Linked DNA regions of Xenopus tropicalis. The protein of the gene in region 1 interacts with the protein of each later gene in a pairwise test. Links are inferred from orthologs where the notes say so. Each region holds a gene or a part of one and is shown on either strand. Other genes may lie near its edges. The genes, in order: inpp5k and mad2l1bp.

The links.
Region 2: the proteins of inpp5k (region 1) and mad2l1bp interact in binary tests that used the Homo sapiens proteins (3 or more experiments, as listed by UniProt). The link is inferred for Xenopus tropicalis from reciprocal best matches to the Homo sapiens genes INPP5K and MAD2L1BP.

The regions. Positions count from the first base shown.
Region 1 is NC_030678.2:45,867,709-45,875,230, reverse strand, and holds part of inpp5k (inositol polyphosphate 5-phosphatase K), read right to left. Parts: intron 7,444-7,522; 5' UTR 7,336-7,443; intron 6,982-7,335; 5' UTR 6,889-6,981; intron 6,168-6,888; 5' UTR 6,092-6,167; coding exon 6,059-6,091; intron 5,965-6,058; coding exon 5,848-5,964; intron 4,507-5,847; coding exon 4,331-4,506; intron 3,496-4,330; coding exon 3,384-3,495; intron 1,284-3,383; coding exon 1,174-1,283; intron 1-1,173. UniProt on the Homo sapiens protein: Inositol 5-phosphatase which acts on inositol 1,4,5-trisphosphate, inositol 1,3,4,5-tetrakisphosphate, phosphatidylinositol 4,5-bisphosphate and phosphatidylinositol 3,4,5-trisphosphate.
Region 2 is NC_030681.2:2,408,348-2,414,697, forward strand, and holds the end of mad2l1bp (MAD2L1-binding protein), read right to left. Parts: intron 3,645-6,350; 5' UTR 3,644-3,644; coding exon 3,413-3,643; intron 2,337-3,412; coding exon 1,824-2,336; 3' UTR 19-1,823; downstream 1-18. UniProt on the Homo sapiens protein: May function to silence the spindle checkpoint and allow mitosis to proceed through anaphase by binding MAD2L1 after it has become dissociated from the MAD2L1-CDC20 complex.

The DNA.
Region 1 (7,522 bases):
TACCACACATATACCATTACCAACATTCCTTTTATTTTCACCTACTGTTCACCTCCTTTTTAAGATCCCACATTGCGCTTGCAATTGACTCCAAATGTTTTTGGTGCCAACCTACTGTACTGTGCCCATATTTATTTATTGCTGTTCACCCCTCCTTAGTTAACATTTTTTCTTTCATTTAAGGATCATTTGTCTTCACCCTTCCAGCTTCTCCCCATCTTCCTTTCTCTGAAAATTATATCTGTATAGTATTATGAGATATTAGAATCTTTTAATGTTCATAAAATTCAGTAACCACCACACTGCTCTAACACCTTCCCCCTCATAATAGAACTGAAAATAAACATTAATGTTATTTTTTTTAGTTTTATAAACATCTTTGATTGGCTTATAACGCTAATGTATAGATGGAAATGGAAACTAATGAAGACAAGATTATATAGCAAGTCAAATATCTGCTGTCATGAAACAAAAAGAGTGTGTCATTTTAAATTTTATATCAAATACCCAATAAAACCATACAATAACATTTTGATAACTTTCTTCTATGCTTTTACAATATTTAGAGTTTATTTTTTGTAGCGACCACCACAAACAGGTCCCATCCACTAGAAAGCAGAGTAAAATTATCTCTTAACTCAGTTCTAAATGACTAATGCCTCTTCCCAAAAAATTAAATACGTTCATCCAAATGCTGATTCACAAATAATATGAAAAATAATAATTTGTATAGTAGTAACAAATAATAAAAGCACAGATCATGATAGCTTTCCGGCTGTATCATAAGATTATATGGGGATACCATCTATTTAGGTGTGGGTTAATATGGACAACACTCCAAATGTTTCAGTCCTGGAGATATTTAGCAAGCTGAAGTATTTCGCTCTTAGTTTGTGCATATTTGAGCCAGCAAACTAAGGCAACAGGTTTGACATGATGTTATTAGGTTTTCTAGAGAAATCATGTAGGAATACTGCATTACATTTGAGTATTTCTACTGATAACTCATTTAGTATAGTCTACTACTGGTTTTAGTTTGAGACAAGGGATATTTTTTAATCTTACTTAAGTCCAAACAGTGACTTTCTCCATCTGGAAACAAAGCAAAGAGATGAATATAAAGCACAACGGGGTGAAGGCCATACTGTCTTACATTGGGATATGTGTTTGTACCTGGTATCATATACATCAGAATTCTGGTCAAACTTATACGTGGGTTTAAACTTTAGTGGTCCTTCCAGAAATCCTTGCAGGAAAGGTTCTTTCTTCTTAGCAATATTTAACTGTTAATTGGAAGAAAAAACAAAGCACAAACCATATTAAAGAGTATTGAAATGATGTTTTGGAGGAGTTATTACATGACTGGGTACCAAATTTCAAAGAACAGGCTATAATGAATTTGCAACCATAAAGAGTTAATCTCAAGCTGCAGGCATACCTTCAGTTCTCTCAATAGTGCCCTTAAGTCTCCCCATATTTCACCTGTTCAGATGATCAGAAGCCAAACAGGAAGAAAAAACGCTGAGCTGTGTAAAGAAAGTTCCCATAATGCCTCGCTCCTGCACTGAGACCCAGACCGGTGCACATGCTCAGTTAGTTAGACTATGAGGAAGCTTCCTGCTGATTGGCTCAGATCCACATTCATAAGTGAGTTCATAGCATTCTTGAGGGAGGGGGGAGCAGGAGAGGGGAGAGAGGAGAGAGCTGCGTGTCTCTGGCACAGGAAACCAGACACAACAAATCTTTTGACAGAGAACTCTATGTTTCTTTCGATAAAGTGCAGCGTTTCTTTGAGTGCTTATGGCTGTACTTACATAGACCTTTCTAATAAAGCACCACAGATGCATTTAAAGGAGTGTGCATTCCACATTCAGACCAGTAATATAAAAGCATAAACATAATTCTCATCTCTACAAATACAATGCTCTCCAATTTGAACTCAAACCTTATGTGTATGCTGCAAAATACAGAGTCATTAGTAATTTCTTAATTAAAGGGGTTGTTCACCTTCAATGTCCAAATTTTATTAACAATGCACTCAGCGTGTAAAAACAAGTAAAGGCCACTGTAAAAACTACTTTTATACCTGTTAAATCAGTCCTTTTCTGTCTCTCTGATCAGTTTTTGTAAGGGATGGGAATGGCCTATTTTGAACCTGGCACACTAAGAACTTCCTATATGCTTACAACATCACATTCAGGCTTTGCCATTACTTTTTTCCTTCTGGACCAATTCACTGGCTACTTGTGCACTCTAACCAGTTGCATAAATTGAAAAGTCATTGGTTGCAAAGGCATAGGCAAACAGACTCAGCATATCACAAATCTAATATAATGTTATGTTAGGTTTGCAGTACTCAGTACAAATTAAGTCTGCTGCCAGTACTATGCGTAACATCAGGAAGAAAAACAAGCGGCTGTAGTGTTTAGGGGTTCACTGCCCCTCCCCACAACCCTCCAGCACAGGGTCTGTGCAGAATTGACGGATCAGCAGAAGGATGATTCTGAGGTGAATATCTCTTCAGCTGCACATTTTTTGTTAACTGTGTATAAAGCAAAGATGGCTCTATTAATGTTAAATTTGTGAATGTACTACAAAGGTGAATAACTCCTTTAATTAACAAATGTCTTTCTCCATGGGACCATATTTATTGAAAATTTGCCACAACAATAACAATTTACTAAAAGGAGAGCACACATGAGTATGAGAAGTAACTTCACATTGGTGAAAATTCTATTCACATACACAATTTTTTTTTTTATTTACAACTGATGCAATTTTTAAATTTTTCTCAAATATAAGTTTGTTGGGTTCAATTCAACTTATTTATAATATTGTTAAGAAGATTAGGCTACTGCCACACCATGCCGAAAAACGCTTGCCGAAAATATGCGCCATAAGCTCCTACCTGTGCCTGCACCCGAATGAATGGAATAAAGTCAGGTGCAGGCACATGTAGCCGAAATATGCATAAAAAACGCAACACTTTGCATTGCGTTTTGATGTGGATTTCAGCTATATGTGCCTGCACCCAAGCGTATTCCATACATTCGGGTGCAGGCACAGGTAGGAGCATATGGCGCAAATTTTCGGCAAGCGTTTTTCGGCTTGCCCAAAATATACGCCATACACATGGTGTGGCAGTAGCCTTAGAGAGCTGAAAATGATTTTCCTACTGAGGCACAGTATCCCATTTTGTGTGTATGACTATACTTTTGTTTATACTGTTGTGTGACAATAAATGCACATTTATAAAAACAAAGTTTCTTAATTGAAACTGAGCTTATTACACAAAAAGAATTAGGAAGTCGACACAAAAAATTAAGCATGATTAAATGCTAGACACCAGTGAAATTAGACGAGCGGTCTGTAAGTTAGCATACCTGGTCTTTCTCCCACAGCAGGTTGTATTTATTACTGTTTATCGCTTCTCTAATAAAGTGGATCCCAAAGTCTGTAATCCGGAAGTTTAGGTCTCCAAAGCAAAACACGAGACTTTAGAGTAACATAAACAAACATAAATGCCATTAGAATTTGCCCCTGTCCAAGAAGCACTTCTCATCGTTGGAAATAACATATTGATACAGTTAATACATCTAGGGCTTAGTAATACACAAACGCTATCACAAAAAATACATTTTTTTAAAAAGTTGCTAGTGGGATAGAAAGATGCCTAAGCCTATACTAAAACCGCATTACTGGAGAAACCACAATTTACAACAAATCAGCCCCAAGTTTATTAAAGGGGACCTGTCACCCAGACATAAAAAGCTGTATAATTAAAATCCTTTTCAAATTAAACATAAAACCCAAAATTTTTTTTGTATTACAACATTTATACCTGTTATAAAATGATTTAAAAATCTGTCAATCACATATTACTTGCCCACCTCTATGCTTTGTGTAGGGCAGGCAGTTACTTTCATTTTCTATTCAGCACTTCCTAGATGTCACTACACTCCTCTTATTGCCCCTCCCTCTACACTGTCTATACTTGTGTAGCCTGTGCATGAACATCAGGTGCTGCATTCTGGTGCATAAACAAGATTTTTAGATAATCTAAAGGCTGCTTGCTGTAATTGCGATTTTCAAGACTGAAAGAAACAAAGTTTATATATTTTACATAGTGTAGGTAAAGTTCATTTTGCCCGACTAGCACAATAGAAAAGAACTTGGAATTATCTCTTATGGTGACAGGTCCCTTTTAACCCAGTGCTTTCTATTTCAAACAGCAGATTAATAAAAGTTCCCTGTTGATTGGTTGCTATAGGTTACTAGACCTGGAGAACACACTGCACTTAACTTTATTCATTTCTTTACCAGAACTTACTCATGGTCTAGAATATTTCCAGTATTATCGTCATCAAATTGCTGAGTGTCCAGCATCCTTTCAAAATCATCGAGCCTCTGGTTGGTGTTTTCCATGTGTGCTGGCAAATGGCAGTTCATGAAGCAAACCATGTGCCCATACACCGACATACGGACTATAACGCCCCCTTTGTTTCCCTTTCATGGGAGAAAGCAGAGTATGAAAGATGTATGCCTTCTTTATGTTAAAATAAAATATTGACACTGAAAATTTTATTCAAACAAGCAAAATTTTTAACTGTCAATATTTTTGCCTAATGAAGCCCTTTTAAGGGAGAAATGTATAGCAGCAACGTATATTACATAAAAGACACTTTAACTATTATAAGAAACACTGCACAATCTCCAAAAATCTCTAACAATCTCCAGTACACCAACTAGTGAGTCACTTTGGTGAAACACACAGAAAGGAAGAGGCGGAATGCATCTTTAAGTGGGGAGAGAGCTGAGATCCAGCATAGTGGGGATTAGGGGTGACTAGGAGGAGCGGTCTATTGCTACAACAGGACTGCCACTGTGGTGAGACCGTTGATTGCTTGGGACAAACATAAGGGAGAGGGTTGGCACTTGAATAAGGTGCCACAATAGCCAATGTGCAGGGCTCGTTGTGGGTGGACATTGTAAGTCGGGGGGGCTGCCATTCCCAAGTAGTGCTTGTTACCCCCCTCTGATTGTTTATTTCTCTCTCTGCTCGCCCCCTCCTCTGATCGTTCACCTTTCTCTGCTTGCCCCCCCCCTCTGATTGTTCATCTCTCTCTGCTCGTTTCCCCCTCTCTCTGATCATTTATATCTCTCTGCTTGTTCCCCACCCCCTCTGATCTATTGCTTTATGCATTTAAAGTATATTGTTTTAGCTTACTGATCTGGCAGCAGCACCACCAAAATTATGTAGTTAGGGAACAGAGACAGAGGGAGGCAATTGGGAGGGGCTTCCCCTGCTACTGCTGAGTTCAGCCTGTCAATCAGTGCTGTGACCACTTCCTGTGGTCACAGGAGGTAAAATGCTTTCAAAACATAGTCAATTTTTCTGCATCATTACACATTTTAAAGGGAGGATGAATAAGTATAACTGAATATGAATATTATATAAAATGTCTCCTTTAAGTACTAACAAAACATGCACTTCCGCCCCCTTCTTTCCCTGCTCGTTATCAGGAGAGGGGTGGGAGAAGGCAGTTCTTCACTGCTATAGAGAAAGCAGACCCAGTAGTCTGAGCCCCACTGCTCCCCCGCAGGGTCTGCTTCCTCTACAGTTATGCCACCGACTAGTTATGACTACTGCTCTGTGTGTCTCTCTACTATTTTATCCACTAGATGAAAAAAGAGTTGGAAAAATATCAAATGAAGGTATCTTCAGCACACTTCTAGTTGGTATTCAACTACAATCCTAGCAGGTCTAGTACACACACACATATATATCTCAAAATGCAAGTAAAATCCCAGAAAATTCTTTCTGTTCTGACCATCAAGAATGCTTACCCAGTAGCCAAACAAGCCAGTGCGAATGTAATTGGTACGAATGTCCTGTATGAAGGGAATATGTTGATGCTTTACAAAGGTCAGGAGAAGGAGGCCCTGCAGTCGGATAGAGGAGAGCTAAAAAAAACAAGCCAAAGAAACATTACATTTTACCTTTCAGCAAATCCATGTAGTGATTTACATAAACATGCCATAACCATAAATATACTACCTTGACATAGCCGAGGGGAGCTAAAATATCCATAAGATAGATACTCCATGGATCATCAAATGCTAAATCTGATAGAAAATTCAGAACTTTTGAATTTACTTCTTGCAAGCTGAAAAATATTAAAAAAAAAAAATCATCCTATCATGCCAATACTGACTGAAATACAAGCCCTGGTGCCGAGTATGACATCACATGATATACCTTTTTTACAGAACATTTAGTTTCCTAGGGGCTGATTTACTTACCCACGAACGGGTCGAATGGAGTCCGATTGCGTTTTTTTCGTAATGATCGGTACTTTGCGATTTTTTTCGTATGTTTTGCGATTTTTTCGGATTCTTTACGAATTTTTCGGATCAATAGTTTTCCTATCCTTTACGAAACCGTAGCGTTAAACATGCGACGCTATACGCAACTTTCGTAATGGATACGAAAAACTCGCGAATCATTCGTAGTCTCCTAGACTTCACTTGTAAGCAAATAAAGGGAAACCTCAATTTTACATACCCTGGATTATAATTATTCCACAACTTTACACCTTTTATAGTGGGCCTGCCAATACAAAATGCATTTCCCTGATTTTACACCCTTTTTTGGTCACTTGGAAAATGGGGGCTCTTTATACTCTTTTACCCACACTGATGACAGTCTAAGTAGGTGACTAATTCCATCTGAGATTCATTCCAAGATATATAAATTTAAGGTTGAAAACATAAAATATATCCTAAATGCAGATGGAGTGAGAGAATGCATGGATGCAATAGATGGAGCATACTATTTAGACAACTGTCTCACCATTATTGCTCTATTTAAACAGGTAATTATTGCACCTTTTTTATTAGAATGAGTTGTCTACAGCGCTAGGTCCTCTGTTTGGACTGTTCCATTTGTATGCAGATAGTAAGGGATAAGAAAGGGTATGCCTGCAGGAACACATGGAAAAATATCACAAAGGACATGCTGTAACTATAACCTAGCTGACACTAGCTCTGTTGCTGCTAAATTTCATACTTTGTGACCCGCACCAAGTGACTGATATTTGATCTATCATTTTCAAAATGTACAGTTTATATTTTTCTTAAAAGATAGTGGGCAGGCTATTTCATGTGTTACAAAGAGTCTAATAATAATCACAACATTTTGTCAAACAAAGAAGTCTGTGGGGCCCCAGTGCAGGCTTGGGGGCACCAGCTAGACAGACTTAACATACATGGAAGCCATCAGAATCATTTAAAACATGAAAAGTTTGTATTTCTAAGCTACCTGTTTGTACTTACCCAATGATGTACATATCAATATCTGAACCTGGGATATCGAATTGAAGCAGAGAGCTGACATCTCGAGGTGGGGATTGTGTAGCCACATTCCACGTAATCAAGTGAACCCTAAAAAAGAAACCACAGCCAGTAAGATTTCAGATAGGATTAATGTGGATGGAAGAGGAGTCAATGGGTGTTGCAGGGC
Region 2 (6,350 bases), on another chromosome or scaffold:
TACCATAAAACAGGAGGATTTGGATAAAAACCTTTATTTGAGGGTGGGTCCCAAAGTATGGGGGTGCAGAGGAGGTAGTTTCCTAGAAGAAGCCAATGCCATAGGTCAGACAGAGAAAATGAAATAGTGCAGCCTCTATACACAGACACAGGGTTAAACTGTGCGTCTCTGACAGACAGACAGACAGACAGAATGTTGGGAAATTCCTTGGGCTGCTAAATATTAGCAAGTTTAGCACCTGTCACTTTAATAAAAATATAGATTCTCTTTAGTTTCATAATAATAAAAAAAAGTAAAAACTTTACATTAAAAACCAAGGAGAGAAAGTGCAACCTGTGCGGTTCAGGCCTTAGTGACCCCAGCGCTGCCCCCGGCACGTCAGATAGTGACCCCCGCAGCAGCACCCTGGGGGTATCTATGTATAAGGCACAGGATTTACTCCATTCCCGACTACTCCCCTTTGGGGGGCAGTGAGATTATTGGGGTTCATATGCATTCAGGAGTCAGGCCGACCCAGTCAGGATAAAGTTTCAGGCTATTGTCATACAGAGAGTTATAGTTGTGCCTCTCCTTAGGCTTGGGGTGGGGGGGCTCGAGCTTCCTTGTACAGAGGGAAAGTTTCAGGCTATTGTCATACAGAGAGTTATAGTTGTGCCTCTCCTTAGGCTTGGGGTGGGGGGGCTCGAGCTTCCTTGTACAGAGGGAAAGTTTCAGGCTATTGCCATACAGAGAGAGTTATAGTTGTGCCTCTCCTTAGGCTTGGGGTGGGGGGGCTCGAGCTTCCTTGTACAGAGGGAAAGTTTCAGGCTATTGCCATACAGAGAGTTATAGTTGTGCCTCTCCTTAGGCTTGGGGTGGGGGGGCTCGAGCTTCCTTGTACAGAGGGAAAGTTTCAGGCTATTGCCATACAGAGAGAGTTATAGTTGTGCCTCTCCTTAGGCTTGGGGTGGGGGGGCTCGAGCTTCCTTGTACAGAGGGAAAGTTTCAGGCTATTGCCATACAGAGAGTTATAGTTGTGCCTCTCCTTAGGCTTGGGGTGGGGGGGCTCGAGCTTCCTTGTACAGAGGGAAAGTTTCACCCTATTGCCATACAGGGAGTTATAGTTGTGCCTCTCCTTGGGGTGGGGGGGCTCGAGCTTCCTTGTACAGAGGGAAAGTTTCACCCTATTGCCATACAGGGAGTTATAGTTGTGCCTCTCCTTGGGGTGGGGGGGCTCGAGCTTCCTTGTACAGAGGGAAAGTTTCAGGCTATTGCCATACAGGGAGTTATAGTTGTGCCTCTCCTTAGGCTTGGGGTGGGGGGGCTCGAGCTTCCTTGTACAGAGGGAAAGTTTCACCCTATTGCCATACAGAGAGTTATAGTTGTGCCTCTCCTTAGGCTTGGGGTGGGGGGGCTCGAGCTTCCTTGTACAGAAGGAAAGTTTCACCCTATTGCCATACAGAGAGTTATAGTTGTGCCTCTCCTTAGGCTTGGGGTGGGGGGGCTCGAGCTTCGTTGTACAGAGGGAAAGTTTCAGGCTATTGCCATACAGGGAGTTATAGTTGTGCCTCTCCTTGGGGTGGGGGGGGCTGAGTTTCAGGCAGTGATACAGACACAGGATGTGCCCTGGCAGAATGGCAGCCCATACTCTGGGGCCCCCTGTATTGCACCTACCCCCGGGGGGCACTTCCTGTCCCCTATCTGCCCCATTACTAACCCTATGCAGCAGCAGGGGTACCCCCACCCGCACACAGGTTCCTCACAGAATACAAGGTTTCGCCTACAGCAGCACCATTTTCCTGCCAGAACCGCAACACTTGGTCCAAAGATAAAAACCCAGACGTTCAGTTCTGAAAGCCCTTGACTGTAACGGGAGCCTGGAACCAGATATAATCCCCGCTGGTGGGTTCCGGGGCCGGAGAGTCCGTACATGCCAGTCTGACAGTCAGGGTGTGGCCCCTGCTGGGCACCTTATAATTCAGCTTGGGCTTGAACCAGTCTGTGCCGCACTGGCGCTGCCCCTGCACCATCACCACCAGACTCAGTACAGACGTAGCGCGCAGGTCGCTGAATGGGTCGGCCAGGAACAGGGCATGGAACAGCTGGCGCAGACACGGCCGGGTACCCAGGCTCTGCTCCCCGTTACCCACGCTCACCCCCGCCATGTCGATATCGTACAGCTCTTTGGGATTCACGGGGTTCCCCCCCAGCAGCAGCAGAACGCGGGGTACAGGGGTGATGGCGAACAGAGTTTCAAGCTGACCCAGTAGCTCCTCCAGGTCCGACAGAGTCTGTTTGCACTGGCGGTTCCCCAGCTCCTCGGTCCAAGAGCGTTTCTTGGCAGCATCTTCACTTCCCTGGGGAGAGATAAACACAGAGCTAAACTACAACTGGAACCGCCGAACTAACACGGGTGCTGCTACACGGGTGCTGCTACACGGGTGCTGCTACACGGGTGCTGCTACACGGGTGCTGCTACACGGGTGCTGCTACACGGGTGCTGCTACACGGGTGCTGCTACTTGCAGTTCAACAACCGAGGGCCCCAGTGCACTCATTTATGCTGCCAGTGACTGTGCCAAGCGTGCCCATGTTATCTGCTGAGCTGGGCAAAGACACAGAGACAGACACAGAGACTGAACACATATTGGTTCTGCTCAGTCAAGGGGCTGACCCAGTTACACAGTACCACTATATACAGCGACCGCAATGATCTGTCGCTCTACTTACTGCTGATATTTACATTGGAACAATAAAGGGAAGCTAAACCCTGCGGCACAGCGCGGCTCAACCCAACGTTACTCAGCTGTTGCCGGACTACAAATCCCAGAATAATGTAACATATAATGAAGGGTGAGGCATGCTGGGAGCTGTAGTCCAGCAACATCAGGGTTGTATTCTTAAAGCAATACTGCCCAATAAAACTTTCCCCCATTAAAATGCAAGAAATCCCCCAATGAGAATCCCAGCTGATGTGAGTAAATCCGGCTCCCTGTTCTCTGTTCCTGCAATTGGAGTTGGGAGCAATAAGCACAGTTTCCCAGCACTGAACAAGTCTGTCCCTTTATCCCCATGTCTGATTCCTGTGCCATATAATGACGGGAAAATGCCATCATTATCTCTATATGTAAGGTACCAGCAAGGGGCCGGACACAGGGAATCAGCATTCTCATTGGTCACTTCTCTTGCACTTATAATCACATGTTGCTCAGTAGAAGGCTCATTGGGGAATTTCCTTGCATCTAGAATTACGTTTTTTGGCAACTTCTATAGCAACACTAGGGGGCGCCGTGGGGCAGCGTTATGGTTGGGTTTATATCCCCTTTAAATGCTCCATTGGATAAAAGACCAATCAGTTATGGCTAAGTGAGGTCACACACAGCCGCCCAACCTGAGCCAGCGGCCTATGCACTAAGGCCTGAGCCAATGATTACCTGCGCTTTCCCGCTGAACCCCAGCAGCTGCTCATACGGGAGGGGCAGTTGGTGGCGCTGGTGCAGAATGTGCTTTAGCAGCTCGCAGGTGAATCGGCAGCAGCTTTCCCGCGTTACCAGCCCAGGGAATACCACCGATACAGTGAGATCTTCCTGAGAGCAGCGCCGCTGGGAGGAAAGGAGTCGGCCCTGAGCTCTCCGGGGAGGCGGATCTTGGCCACATTGCGCCATCCTGTGATAAAGGGTAAGTAGGCACCATAAGTACTCGTGTCACTGTAACCCCCCAGTAATACCCCAGTCAGTACTTTCTGCCCTTCTCACACACAGATGCACCTCTCATTCAATAAGACCAGGCAGTAACCCATGGCAACCAAAGCACCACTTCCACTTTTCTACCTAAAAAAATGAAAAAGCTGATCACTCATCCATCTCCCAGCAGCCCCTGCCCCCCACACACACACAGCCTCCATCTCCCAGCAGCCCCTGCCCCCCACACACACACAGCCTCCATCTCCCAGCAGCCCCTGCCCGCACACACACAGCCTCCATCTCCCAGCAGCCCCTGCCCCCCACACACAGCCTCCTCTCTCCAGCAGTCCCCCTGCCCCCCACACACACACAGCCTCCATCTCCCAGCAGCCCTGCCCCACCCACACACACAACAGCCTCCATCTCCAGCAGCCCCTGCCCCCACAACACACACAGCCTCCATCTCCAGCAGCCCTGCCACCACACACACAGCCTCCACTCTCCCAGCAGCCCCTGCCTCACCCACACACAGTTGCACAGCCTCCATCCCCCAGCAGCCCCTGCCCCACACACACACAGACCGGTCCATCTCCAGCAGCCCTGCGGCCGCCACACACACAGCCTCCAATCTCCCAGCGCCCCTGCCCCACACAACACAGCCCTCCATCTCCACAGCAGCCCTGCTCCCCACAACACAGCCTCCATCTCCAGCAGCCCCTGCCCCACATCAGCACAGGCCGTCCATCTCCCAGCAGCCCTGGGCCCCCCACACACAACAGCAGCCTCCATCTCCCAGCAGCCGCCTGCCCCCACACACACAGCCTCCATCTCCAAGCAGCAAGCACCCTGCCCCACACACACACACAGCCTCCATCTCCCCACAGCCCCTGCCCCCACACACAGCCTCCATCTCCCGCAGCAGCCCCTGCCCCCCACACACACAGCCTCAATCTGCCCAGCAGCCCCTGCCCCCCACACACACAGCCTCCATCTCCCAGCAGCCCCTGCCCCGCCCCAAACACACACACACACCTCCATCTCCACAGCCCTGCTCACCCACACACAACAGCCTCCAATCTCCACGCAGCCCCTGCCCCATACAACACAAGCGCACAACCTCCCTCTCCCCAGCAGCCCTGCCCCCCATACACACACACAAGCCTCCCTCTCCCAGCCAGGCCCTGCCCATACCACACAGCCCTCCCTCTCCAGCAGCCCTGCCCCCCTAACACACAGCCTCGCATCCTCCCAGCAGCCCCTGCCCCACACCACACCAGCCTCCAATCTCCCAGCAGCCCCTGCCCCCATACACACACACAGCCTGCCCTCTCCCAGCAGCCCCTGCCCCCCATACATACACACACACGCCTCCCTCTCCCAGCAGATCCCTGCCTCCCATACACCACAGCCTCCATCTCAGCAGCCCCCTGCCCCACTTCACTAAATCACACAGCCTCCCTTCACCAGCAGCGCCCTTGCCCCACAACACAGCCTCCCTCTCCCCACACCCCTGCCCCCCATACAACACACACGCCTCCCTCTCGCCAGCAGCGCCTGCCCCACTCACACAGCCTCCCTCTCCCAGAGCCCTTGCCCACTCACCACACAGCCTCCATCTCCAGCAGCCCCTCCCCTCACACACATGCAGCCTCCCTCTCCGCAGCAGCCCCTGCCCCACTCACACACACAGCTCCCTCTCCACAGCCCTGCCCCCACACACAGCCTCCCTCTCCCAGTGCAGCCCCTGCCCCCCATACACAACAGCACACAGCCTCCCTCTCCCAGCAGCCCCTGCCCCCCATACACACACAGCCTCCCTCTCCCAGCAGCCCCTGCCCCCATACACACACAGCCTCCCCTCCCCAGCAGCCCCTGCCCCCCATACACACACAGCCTCCCTCTCCCAGCAGCCCCTGCCCCACTCACACACACAGCCTCCCTCTCCCAGCAGCCTCCCCCCCATACACACAGCCTCCTCTCCCAGCAGCCCCTGCCTCCCCATACACACAGCCTCCATCTCCAGCAGGCCCTGCCCCACACCAGCCTCCCTCTCCCAGCAACCCCTGCCCACACACACACACAGCCTCCCCTCTCCCAGCAGCCCCTGCCCCCCATACACACAGCCTCCCTCTCCCAGCAGCGCCACGTGCCCCACTCCACACACACAGCCTCCCTCTCCCAGCAGCCCCTGCCAGCCACTCACACCCACAGCCTCCCTCTCCAGCAGCCCCTGCCCCCCATAAACAAGTACACACACAGCTCCATCTCCCAGCAGCCCCTGCCCCATACACACACACAGCCTCCCCTCTCCAGCAGCCCCTGCGCCACCCACACAGCCTCCTCTCCCAGCACCCCTGCCCCACTCACACAGCCTCCCTCTCCCAGCAGCCCCTGCCCCATCATACACACAGCCTCCCTCTCCCAGCAGCCCCTGCCCCACTCATACACACAGCCTCTCTCTCCCAGCAGCCCTGCCCCACTCATACACACAGCCTCCCTCTCCCAGCAGCCCCTGCCCACTCATACACACAGCCTCCCTCTCCCAGCAGCCCCTGCCCCCCATACACACAAGGCCTCCATCTCCCCCCAGCAGCCCCTCCCCACTCACACAGCCTCCCTCTCCCAGCAGCCCCTGCCCCACACACACACACACAGCCTCCCTCTCCCAGCAGCCCCTGCCCCCCATACC